Canis lupus familiaris: one gene and its partners. The protein of the gene in region 1 binds, or shares a complex with, the protein of each later gene. Links are inferred from orthologs where the notes say so. Each region holds a gene or a part of one and is shown on either strand. Other genes may lie near its edges.

The links. The genes of interacting proteins can lie anywhere in the genome.
Region 2: DHX16 (region 1) and RBMX2 share a complex: the UniProt entries of both Homo sapiens proteins name them as parts of the minor spliceosome. The link is inferred for Canis lupus familiaris from reciprocal best matches to the Homo sapiens genes DHX16 and RBMX2.
Region 3: DHX16 (region 1) and RBM48 share a complex: the UniProt entries of both Homo sapiens proteins name them as parts of the minor spliceosome. The link is inferred for Canis lupus familiaris from reciprocal best matches to the Homo sapiens genes DHX16 and RBM48.

The regions. Positions count from the first base shown.
Region 1 is NC_049233.1:613,813-618,214, reverse strand, and holds the start of DHX16 (pre-mRNA-splicing factor ATP-dependent RNA helicase DHX16), read left to right. Parts: upstream 1-1,593; 5' UTR 1,594-1,804; coding exon 1,805-2,011; intron 2,012-3,672; coding exon 3,673-3,917; intron 3,918-4,013; coding exon 4,014-4,173; intron 4,174-4,402. UniProt on the Homo sapiens protein: Required for pre-mRNA splicing as a component of the spliceosome. Contributes to pre-mRNA splicing after spliceosome formation and prior to the first transesterification reaction.
Region 2 is NC_049260.1:102,438,331-102,441,982, forward strand, and holds part of RBMX2 (RNA-binding motif protein, X-linked 2), read left to right. Parts: intron 1-1,536; coding exon 1,537-1,666; intron 1,667-3,249; coding exon 3,250-3,427; intron 3,428-3,652. UniProt on the Homo sapiens protein: Involved in pre-mRNA splicing as component of the activated spliceosome. As a component of the minor spliceosome, involved in the splicing of U12-type introns in pre-mRNAs.
Region 3 is NC_049235.1:18,072,443-18,074,976, forward strand, and holds part of RBM48 (RNA-binding protein 48), read left to right. Parts: intron 1-509; coding exon 510-655; intron 656-2,136; coding exon 2,137-2,534. UniProt on the Homo sapiens protein: As a component of the minor spliceosome, involved in the splicing of U12-type introns in pre-mRNAs.

The DNA.
Region 1 (4,402 bases):
ATTTTCCCATTTCAAAGAATTTCTATCTTCTACATATGTGGCAGGCACATCTATAGTTTACTTATCAGGTTTTTTTTTTTTTTTTTTCCAGTTTGCTAGGGTAGTAAAGACATGTTTGAGTAGTTATAGTCCTACCACTACAGGAATTTTCTCAGCTTAGTCAGAGGAGACCCCCTTTTACTAAATACAAAATAAGACAAACCGACCTTAAACGAATACCAAAACGAATACCAAAGTCTTTAACTTACTAGCAAAGGAACAACAAAGGTGTTAAAACAATAAGCCAGTTTAGAGAGTATGGAGGGAAACAATGCTTATACTCGTAGCTAATTAAATAAAGACCCTAATAGTTGTGACCCAGGAAACCAGAGGCAGGAAGCTCTGAGACGCCAGGGGTGCCCACAGTCCATCTCAGAAACAGAAAACAATGCATCTAAGAAGCCAGTGCTGGGCATGCCCCCCGGTGGCGCAGCGGTTTGGCGCCGCCTTCGGCCGAGGGCGTGATCCTGGAGACCCGGATCGAGTCCCACGTCGGGCCCCCTGCAGGGAGCTCTGCCTGCTTCTCCCTCTGCCTCTCTCTCTCTCCTCTCTCTGTCTCTCATGAATAAATAACTAAAAATCTTTAAAAAAAGAGAGAGAGCGAGCGAGCGAGCGGGAGGGCAGGCGCCGGTGAGGGCCGAGGGAGAAGCAGGCCCTCTGCAGAGCGGGCTGCCTGCGGGGGGGCTCCCTCCAGGACCCGGCATCACCAGGGCATCACCAGGGCAGCGGAGGGCAGACGCTCGACCACGGAGCCACCCAGGTGCTCCTCTGCTTATTTTTGTTTTTGTTTGTTTGTTTGTTTTTGTTTTTTTCCTCTGCTTATTTTTGAATAAGCACCGCCAGTGAATTTCTCAAGCTGTTAACAAAATGCAGAACACAGTTTACACATTCCTGAGATCGGAGGTTTTTTTTTTTTATTTTTTTATGATAGTCAGAGAGAGAGAGAGAGAGAGAGAGAGGCAGAGACACAGGCAGAGGGAGAAGCAGGCTCCATGCACCGGGAGCCCGACGTGGGATTCGATCCCGGGTCTCCAGGATCGCGCCCCGGGCCAAAGGCAGGCGCCAAACCGCTGCGCCACCCAGGGATCCCAGATTGGAGGTTTTTAAAGCTGTTTCTTGCTGCTTGGAGGTCCTCGCTTGTGTCTAACGTGTATTCGTTCTTGCCACAGGTACTGGCACGAGCAAACGTCACTCCTAATCAGCATGGGCTAATTTTCATCAGCAGGGACCTAGCCTTTCAATTTGAAATAGAACCTCCCCAAACCACACACAAATCTTGCATTATTTTTGGCCCCATACTTTATTTATTATCTACCTTGCCTCCCCCTCCTTCAGTAAGGGATTTTTGTCTGATAATTTGCCACATCCCCAGCAACTAAAACTGCTTAGCACACAGCATTTGTTGAATGAATGCGTGAGCGAGGTATCCACAGACTGACCATCAGAGGGCGACAGAAAGACTTGGTGGAAACGGAAACGAAACGTCTCACCCGTTCGGCGGTTCCGCGAGGTTTGACTTCGCTCGGCCGCCGTAGTGCACAGGCCGGAAACGACTGGCCGGAAACGACTAGTCGTTTCCGGCTTCTGCGGTCCGAGAAGACGGTTTGGGGCTGTGGGAAACCGAGACCCAAGGGTCAAAGGCAGGTCCTTTGCGGAGCTGGGACTCCAGTCCAGGGCTCCAGGCCTGCAGGCCTCCGACGAGCCCAGCCGCCAGCGTGTTTACTCGACATAGTTCAGGGCCAGGAACCGGGCAGCGTGGGTCACCATGGCGACGCCGGCTGGGCTGGAGCGCTGGGTGCAGGACGAGCTGCACTCGGTGCTGGGGCTGAGCGAGCGGCACGTAGCCCAGTTTTTGATCGGTACCGCGCAGCGATGCGCCTCGGCCGAGGACTTCGTACAGCGCCTGCGAGACACCGATACTCTGGACCTCAGCGGACCGGCTCGCGACTTCGCCTTGAGACTCTGGACCAAGGTGTCTGCAGGGGCGGGGCGGGGCCCGGCGTGGGCGCGGCGGGAGAGCAGGTGGAGCGGGGGCGGGGCCCCAGGTTGTCTATCCAGGTGAGGCTAGGCTAACTGTCCTTGGGGGAATTAAGTAAGCTCGGTTACACCAGCACCTAGCTTTTATCCGTTGTCGCCTGGGTACTGTACTAGGTGCTGGACGTGCAGCTCTGGGGAGAAGTTCAAGGACCGTTAGGTGCTGTAGAGCAGTGTTTCACGAACTTTAATAGGCCCTTGTTTTAATGTGGATCCAGATTCGATAGGTTTGGGGTGGGATCTTAGTTTTTGCATTTCTAGCTAGTTTTCAGGTGAAGCTGATGGTCCACGGACAGCATTTTGAGTAGCAAGGCTATAGAAGAAATGTGTGAGAAGTGCTGTGGTAGGGCACAAAAGGTAAGGGTAGTGATCAGGGGAAAGCAGGCCCAAAGATTCCCCGGAATCTGTCTGATAGATAGAGAAGGGGGAAGGAGTAAAGGTGTAAAAGTGAATTCCTGGAGGACAGGACTGTGTATTGCTTGTCTTTGTATTTCTTCCACCTGACAACACCTTACAGAACAGGTGCTTAGTAAGTATATCGAAGAGTGAAAGTGTTCAACGTGTTCCTAGAATGGCAGGTAGCCTGCTTGAGTTGTCACATATGGTTCCTGGTGAAAGATGAATTTAGAATCTAAGTGATATGAGGATAGGGACTTTATGTAAATCCGTGTAGCATGTATCCCTGGAATCTGGTACGGTGCCAAACATATGACAGGCCTCTGTAAACCAATCCTTGTAGCATGTCAGTCCTTGCATCGTGATGACTTAATTGTGGGGAAGAACAGAGTCTGAGCAATTGAGAATTGGTTTTGAGAATGTAGGGACTTGCCTTTGTCCCAGGGCGTGATCCTGAAGTCCCAGGATCGAGTCCCACATCAGGCTCCCTGCATGGGACACCTTAAAAAAAAAGAAAAAAAAAAAAGAATGTAAGATAAACTCCATGAGGGCAGGAATTTTTATTTATTTATTTTTAAGGATTTTATTTATTTATTAATGAGAGACACAGAGAGAGGCAGAGGGAGAAGCAAGCACCATGCAGGGAGCTCAATGTGGGACTCAGTCCCAGGACTCCAGGATCACGCCCTGGGCGGAATGCAGACCCTCAACCGCTGAGCCACCCAGGCAGGAATTTTTGTCTTGTATTTATTCCTGTGTCCTTGATCCCTAGCAAGTACCTGGTGCATCAGACAGGCTTCAATAAATGTTTGTTAAATGAATGACTGCAAGGAGGTTCAGAAGCTGAAAGGCCCAGTTCAGGCTGATGAACATGGTGTGAAGCCATGAGGAAAAGAGACAATGAAGGTTAGTTTAAGATCAGGCCATTCCAGGCAGCCCGGGTGGCTCAGCAGTTTAGTGCCTCCTTCGGCCCAGGGCATGATCCTGGAGACCCAGGATCGAGTCCCACGTTGGGCTCCCTGCATGGAGCCTGCGTCTCCCCCTGCCTGTTTGTCTGCCTCTCTCTCTGTGTCTCTCGTGAATAAAAAAATAAAATCTTAAAAAAAAAAAATCACGCCATTCTTTAAATTTCAGAATGGGGCAAAGTAGATGGGTAAAAATCAGGAGTTGCTCACATCCCATTATCTTCCCTTCTACTGATAGGTACCACGGAAGGCGGTGGTAGAAAAGCCAGCTCGGGCGGCCGAGCGAGAGGCCCAAGCCCTGCTGGAAAAGAACCGATCCTATAAGTTGCTGGAAGACAGTGAGGAGAGTAGTGAGGAGACCGTAGGTAGAACTGGGAGCAGTCTCCAGAAGAAGCGTAGAAAACGGAAACACCTCAGGAAGAAATGTCAGGAGGAGGAAGAAGAGGAGGAAGAGATTTCCGAGAAAGGGAGAAGAAAGACAGGGTAAGTTAGAAGCAGAGTGAGAGAGGGTGAGGCAGGGGATAAGGGGGCAGTAAGCTTCCTAGGAGACCTTATGTAATCCTTTGGACTGGTTTGCAGGGGGAGTCAACAGACTGAGAAGCCGGAATCTGAGGATGAGTGGGAGCGGACCGAGCGAGAGCGCCTTCAGGACCTGGAGGAACGTGATGCCTTTGCTGAGCGGGTTCGGCAGCGAGACAAGGATCGGACTCGCAATGTCCTGGAGCGGTCAGACAAGAAGGTGCATAGGAGCAGCATGTTCTGTAAATCCCCAAGAAGATCCCTGGGTCAGATCTGAGGTTGGGTGTGATTGCAGAGATAGGGCTCTCTGGGAAGACCAGGGTGGCCTCTGGAGGTGTTCATCTCTGTAGTAAGAGGACCCAGAAGGGTCTGCTGATCCTCTGCTCAACCTGTAGGCCTAGAGATTCCCCCCTGAGAAGGGACATTTCTGTATGCTATAGTATATCCAA
Region 2 (3,652 bases), on another chromosome or scaffold:
TTAGGTAAGATGCAAGATATCTGGCCCAGATGTATGTGTATGATTGTGTTATTAAGTATCCACCAATTCTTGTTTTATTTTTATGACTCTACCTTTTAATTTATGAATCTTTAACTTATCTGGAATTTAACTTTGTATAAGGAATAAGGTAGATTTTTTTTCTATTTTCTATTTAATTTCTGCTTTTATCTTTATTAACTCCCATCTGCTTTCCTTAGATTTATTTTCTTTTATATTCATTCTGCCTTTTTATTTTATTTTTAAATATTTTATTTATTTAATGAGCGAGCGAGAGAGCGATATCTTGAGTAGAGGGGAAGGGCAGAGGGAGAAACGGACTCCCTGCAGAGCTGGGAGCCCAACACAGGACTTGATCCCAGGAGCCTGGGATCATGAGCTGAGCTGAAGGCAAATGCTTGACTGACTGAGTCACCTATGTGCCTCCTATTCTACCTTTTTAACAGTAAAATTCTTTAAGGTTGCAGATTTTCCCGAGCGTAGTTTTAGCTGCATCTTGTAAGTTTTGGTATATATTCTCATTTGTGTTATTTTTTAAATAGTCTACCATTGATTTTTTTTTCTTTATTTCAATTTCTCTTTCATCCAGTTGTTAGGAGAATAGGCTTCAAGTTCTAGCTTGTAGGGTATTTTTTATTTAAAATATTATTTCCAGCTGTATAGCATTGTGATTGGAGAACATGTTCTGTTTTTGGAGGTGATTGAAGTTTATTCTATAGTCCATTTTAATACATGTTTCATGGATTATTGAAATGGTACTATTTTTGTAAGATTCAGATATATATATCCACTAGTTTGACATTAATATTTAACAACATAATTGTTATATTATAGTTTATATTAATGTTATAATTATATATTGATATTAATTCCTCTGACCTTATTTTTGTCAGCTTTATGTGTTATAAACTTAAAGTGGTATGCTAAAATATAACTTTTGTTATTAGTTTCTCTTGGAATTTCTAAGAGTTTCTTAAGTTAAAATTTTTGACTTGTGAACTTATGTATAAAGTTTCATGACATATTTTTGTAATATATTAGGACCTTTTTAACAATTTTTTTTTAAATTTTTATTTATTTATGATAGTCACAGAGAGAGAGAGAGAGGCAGAGACAAGGCAGAGGGAGAAGCAGGCTCCATGCACCGGGAGCCTGACGTGGGACTCGATCCCGGGTCTCCAGGATCATGCCCTGGGCCAAAGGCAGGCGCCAAACCGCTGCGCCACCCAGGGATCCTATTAGGACCTTTTTAAGTGTAAAAGAGCTCTCTTAGTCCTGCTTAAGGGGAACTATTTTTTTTTTTTGGCCTTGAATTCATCTTCGATCTTAATATTACCACTCATTTTGTAATTGGGTGTTCCTGCTCTGTCCTTGTCTAATTTTTATTTTTAACTTTATGTCATCTTTTCCTAGATGTATCTCTTGTATAGATTATATTATTTGAATTGTTTTGTCATTCAATCTGAAAGTTTTTGCATTTTAAATCAATGGTGTCTTACTCTTTTATAAAATAAATAGATATGGGGAGATTGTTAACATTAATCTGGTGCGGGACAAGAAGACTGGGAAATCCAAAGGATTCTGTTTCCTTTGCTATGAAGACCAGAGGAGCACAATTTTGGCTGTTGACAATTTTAATGGAATCAAGGTGAGTGTGTTCACTAAGCAGGATCTGGCTGGACTTTTCCTGTATGTAAGAGTTCGATTTAATTTCCCACCTGATTGCCCCAAGTTCAAGGACAGTACTGGTCACCTGGATGTGTTGAGGGTTGTAGAGGTGTGGGGACATACTGACCAGGAAATGATCCCAGGAAATAATTTCATTGGCTTATGACCCTGCTGACACTTGTTCCTTTTCCTCATGTTCATCTTCCCAGGAACATAGGTATCATGTCCCTCACCCCCAACCAAGCCCCTGGTTTCTCACCTTTCCATTCTCACACCCTACTCTCATCTCTGATGTATTGGGCAGTAAAAAGACTAGCAAATACTGCTCTTCCATGCTATGCTGTGTCAGAGGATTTGGCGCTCTCTTATGGCTTCATCCTCTAAGACATAGCTCTGTGTGTCTGTCCTATGTCTCCACTGACTTAGCATTACTGGGCCTTGGAAATTCTCTAGATGAAGTCTGATGACAAATTCTACAAAAGTAACTCATTCTGAAGTTTTCCCTTGTCTGTTCCCTCTCAGAACACTCTTGGCCAGAGAAGGTGGTAGACAAGTCTGGCTTGTCTATGCTCTCCCTGGTTCCTCTGCTTATTTAGGAAAAGCACTGCAGTTAGATAAGCATTTTTTATAGGTTTGGGGGTGACTTTGGACTTGGAGAATTTGTCACTGATTGCAGCAGTATGGAACAGCTGAAAATCTCCATGAAAGGGGGATTTTCTAAAATGTTTTCAAAAGGGGAATAGGAAAGATGACCTTTAAGTTCAGGCTTAAAGGTAAGAATGAAACTCTGTTCTTGTATAGGAACAATAAAAGCCAGACATAAGCTTTTGGATGATTTTTTCCTATAGAATAGGTCTGTATCTGCCTGACTATTTTTAAGTGAGGGGCTAATTTTTTGTTGTTCACCCAGAGAGTTGTGATCCACAGCAAAAATAAGTGTGAGACAGTTGTTCCAGTATGGTGGGGGTAGAGCAAGGCGTGAGGGCTTAGGAAAACAAATTCCTTCCCCTTTCCCAAATATTGGTCTGCCTTGACCTCATCCTAATTGCTGTATCAAGAAAACAGCTGTAGTGCTGCACTCGCTTCAGGAGTTCTTTCTAACTGCCAGGCCATGGTATGTTTTACTGCAAATTAATGTGATTGAGGGTAATTCATTGTTTATGCATGTAAATTCTTAGTTTTCCCTGCTGCTTGTGCTTTGGGGCAGTACTGCTGAGCATTTTTTCATTTAATTGCATATGTAGAACCTGAAGGTTATTGTGTGGCACCCTGGGGTAAACTGAGGAGGCTGCCTGGTAGAGTTGCCTCAGGGACTCCAGCTGCCTACCTGATTGCCCCAGGGAGGGGCTGGGCAGATTATTATCTAGGTATATGTGCTGTGACATACCAGTTGGGCAGGTCTGGCTTAGATATTTCCCCAGAAATAGAATTAGCAGGAAGGTAAAGGGTGTAGTTTGAACCATGGCTTTCTAGGGTGTGGTTTGAACCATGGCTTTCTGCAGCTGGGTTCAAATAGTTCAGAAGTAGGGCCCTCTCTGCTGAAGCATTGCCTGTCTGTCTTAGATCAAAGGAAGAACTATCCGAGTGGATCATGTGTCTAACTATCGGGCTCCTAAGGACTCAGAAGAAATGGATGATGTGACCAAAGAGCTCCAAGAGAAGGGCTGTGGGGCTCACACCCCCTCCGTGAGTTCATCCGAGGGTTCCGAAGATGACAAACCCCCAAAAAAATACAAAAAAGGTAAAGCACTAAGACCTGAGAGAAGATTCTGGGTAGTCTTAGTGTTTGCTCCTCCTAGTATTCACTGAGAATTGGTAATCAGTTATTAGGTGTGAAAAGGAAGGGTGTGGGGAACCGTATAGTAATTGGGAAAGGAGAGGTATCAGTGGAAGACTAATATCATGGGCTGAATTCTGTTTCCCAGTTCATATGTTGGAGTCCTAATCCCTCGAGACCTTAGAATGT
Region 3 (2,534 bases), on another chromosome or scaffold:
CCAGTTACATATGTTTGATAAGTATTTGTTGAATATCATCATGTAACTTTCTCGTTGCTTATATATTCAATATTTACTCAATTATTGAAGATTTTACTATTACAATATTTTTATTTGTGAATCCATTGTGCTGAAAAGGCTAAATTGGGTATGAGCTGACTCTTAAGGGACATTTAACACAGAGAAATCTCTATTTCATGACCACAGATTGTGTACCTCAAGTTAACTATTGGCTCCTAAGTTGGTTAAAGGGAGTCTGGTTATGTGTGGATGACTTAGCTCAAAATCTGTTAGTAGTATAGAGCGAGGGGATGAAAGGCTTGAAGAGTATGCACTAGATCAGTAGAGTTAATACCATACACAAGTAGAACATCTTAACTCCCAAACCATAGGATGTATGTACACCTAGCAAAACCTGGACTTTTGGATCAATGCATTGTATACTATTTCAGCTTTCATCCTAAGTAGGTCAAGATTAATAAAACATGCTATCACATATTTCTGTTTAGGACAGCCAAGAGAAAAATGGATGAACAGAGTTTCTTTGGTGGATTGCTTCATGTATGCTATGCTCCAGAATTTGAAACAGTTGAAGAAACTAGAAAAAAATTACAGGAGAGGAAGGCTTATATAGCAAGAACTACTAAAAATAAAGGTTTGTAAAGCCAGGTACTAAACATCTTTTGTGTGTCAGGCAGTCTGCGAGGTGTATCATCATAGAGCCTCCCAGTCTAGTGGGAAGAGAGATAAATAATCACAATATTCATTAACTATAAACTGCAGGATTCTGTGCAGCACTCTCAAGTAATCTGGGCTGGAAAGGGAAAGATGTTAGTTTGTGACAAGAGTCCTACAGGATGAAAGAGATGGCTGAGTTTTGAAGGACAAGTAGACATTACTCAGAAGGGGAGATGGAAAGGTAAGCCAGGTAGCATGTTTAAAGAGCAGAGGAATAAGTAGACATCATGTGTATGAAGGAACTACAAGTAGTACAGGGCAACCACAACATGGGCTGCTCCTAGAAATAAGATTAGAAAAGAGGACAGGAACTGAATCATGAAGTGCCTCGTGTCTGTCCCATGCTGAGGAATTAAGGCTTGACATAAAGGCAGTGAGAAACAATTATGATTTGCAGACTAGTTACCTACTGCCAATCTAAAACTATTAAATGTGAAAAAGTCCCACTTTTGACCAGTAGCTGGCCAGAGACGCCATATGCCCCACTGAGTTTCACTAGACATAAATTCCAGGTGCCTGGAATAGGGTCTCATGGGATTTGGTACAAGGATTGTAGGAACAGAGCACTCAGAATTGGACTAAAATAATGTGTGTGGTCTGAAATCTGAATAGTCCTGGAGGCTCAGATGACCAGTTTTCCACCCTTTAGTTGAAAGACCAAGTCAGTATCCACACAGTTATTGAATATGAGGAGTTTATGACTGGGGAAGTGGCCTGTGGCAGAGGTGAAGAGAAGTAAGGAGGGAAGACTCTTGGAAGACTTATTTGAAAATTTGGCAAGAGAACTGTTGAGAGCCCATGGTCATTAGTAGACCCTGAACTTTAACCCATGGGATATGTGAATAGTTCTAGGAAAACTTTATGGTTGTGTGGCAAATAAAATTACAAAATATGGGTCCAGCATACTGCCTCTTTTAAAAATTAAACACAAACTAAGCAGCATGATACATTCATACAGTAGACTCCTCTGAAGCTGTGAAGAAAGAAGCATTCTATGTAATGACCAAGAAAAAATCTCTAAGATCTCTAAGATCTACAGTTAGGTGGAAAATGCAAAGGAACAAAGAAATGGATATTATGGAAAAAGAGGAGTTGGTGGGAGAAGGAAAAGTAAGACCTAGCTGGACAGATAAATAAGAAAGAATTGGGATTACTTATGGAGAAGTAGAAACGAGGAAGATGGGGAGCAAAGAAAGAATGACACTTGACACTAATATATTCTTTATCCTTTTTAGCTTTTAAATACAAGGTATTGCCTGCTTAAGAAATAAATTATTCAGGGTACCATTGTTAACATTTAAAGTAATGTTTGTTTTTAAAATTATAGTTTTCTGAATGATGAAAACAATAAAACATTTCTTTTTCCTCTTATCTCACCTTTTAAATTGTAATGTGAAGATCATTACATAACAAAGAAGAAACGGGTTACAGAGCTTAAAGACACAAAAGATTTCAGACAGAACTTCCATTCAGGGACATCTGGATTTCGTGCAGTCACTGTGAATACTTCTGCTGGCAACTCAGACCCTTGTCTTCCTTATTCTTGTGAATTGCCTTTATGTTATTTTTCCTCAAAATGTACATGTTCGTCAGGGGAACATATGGGTAAAGCATCCAACTTCTCTCAGGACAGTAGAAACCATGCTAAAACAATGGAGCATTGTATGCACAATGACTCTTTGCAGAAGATACAAATGAAACCTTTAAAAAATTCATTGGCCTTCCCTGGTGCACAAAAGGCTATTACTTCTTCAGAGGCAGTTGAGAGATTTATGCCTAGGACAACACAACTGCAG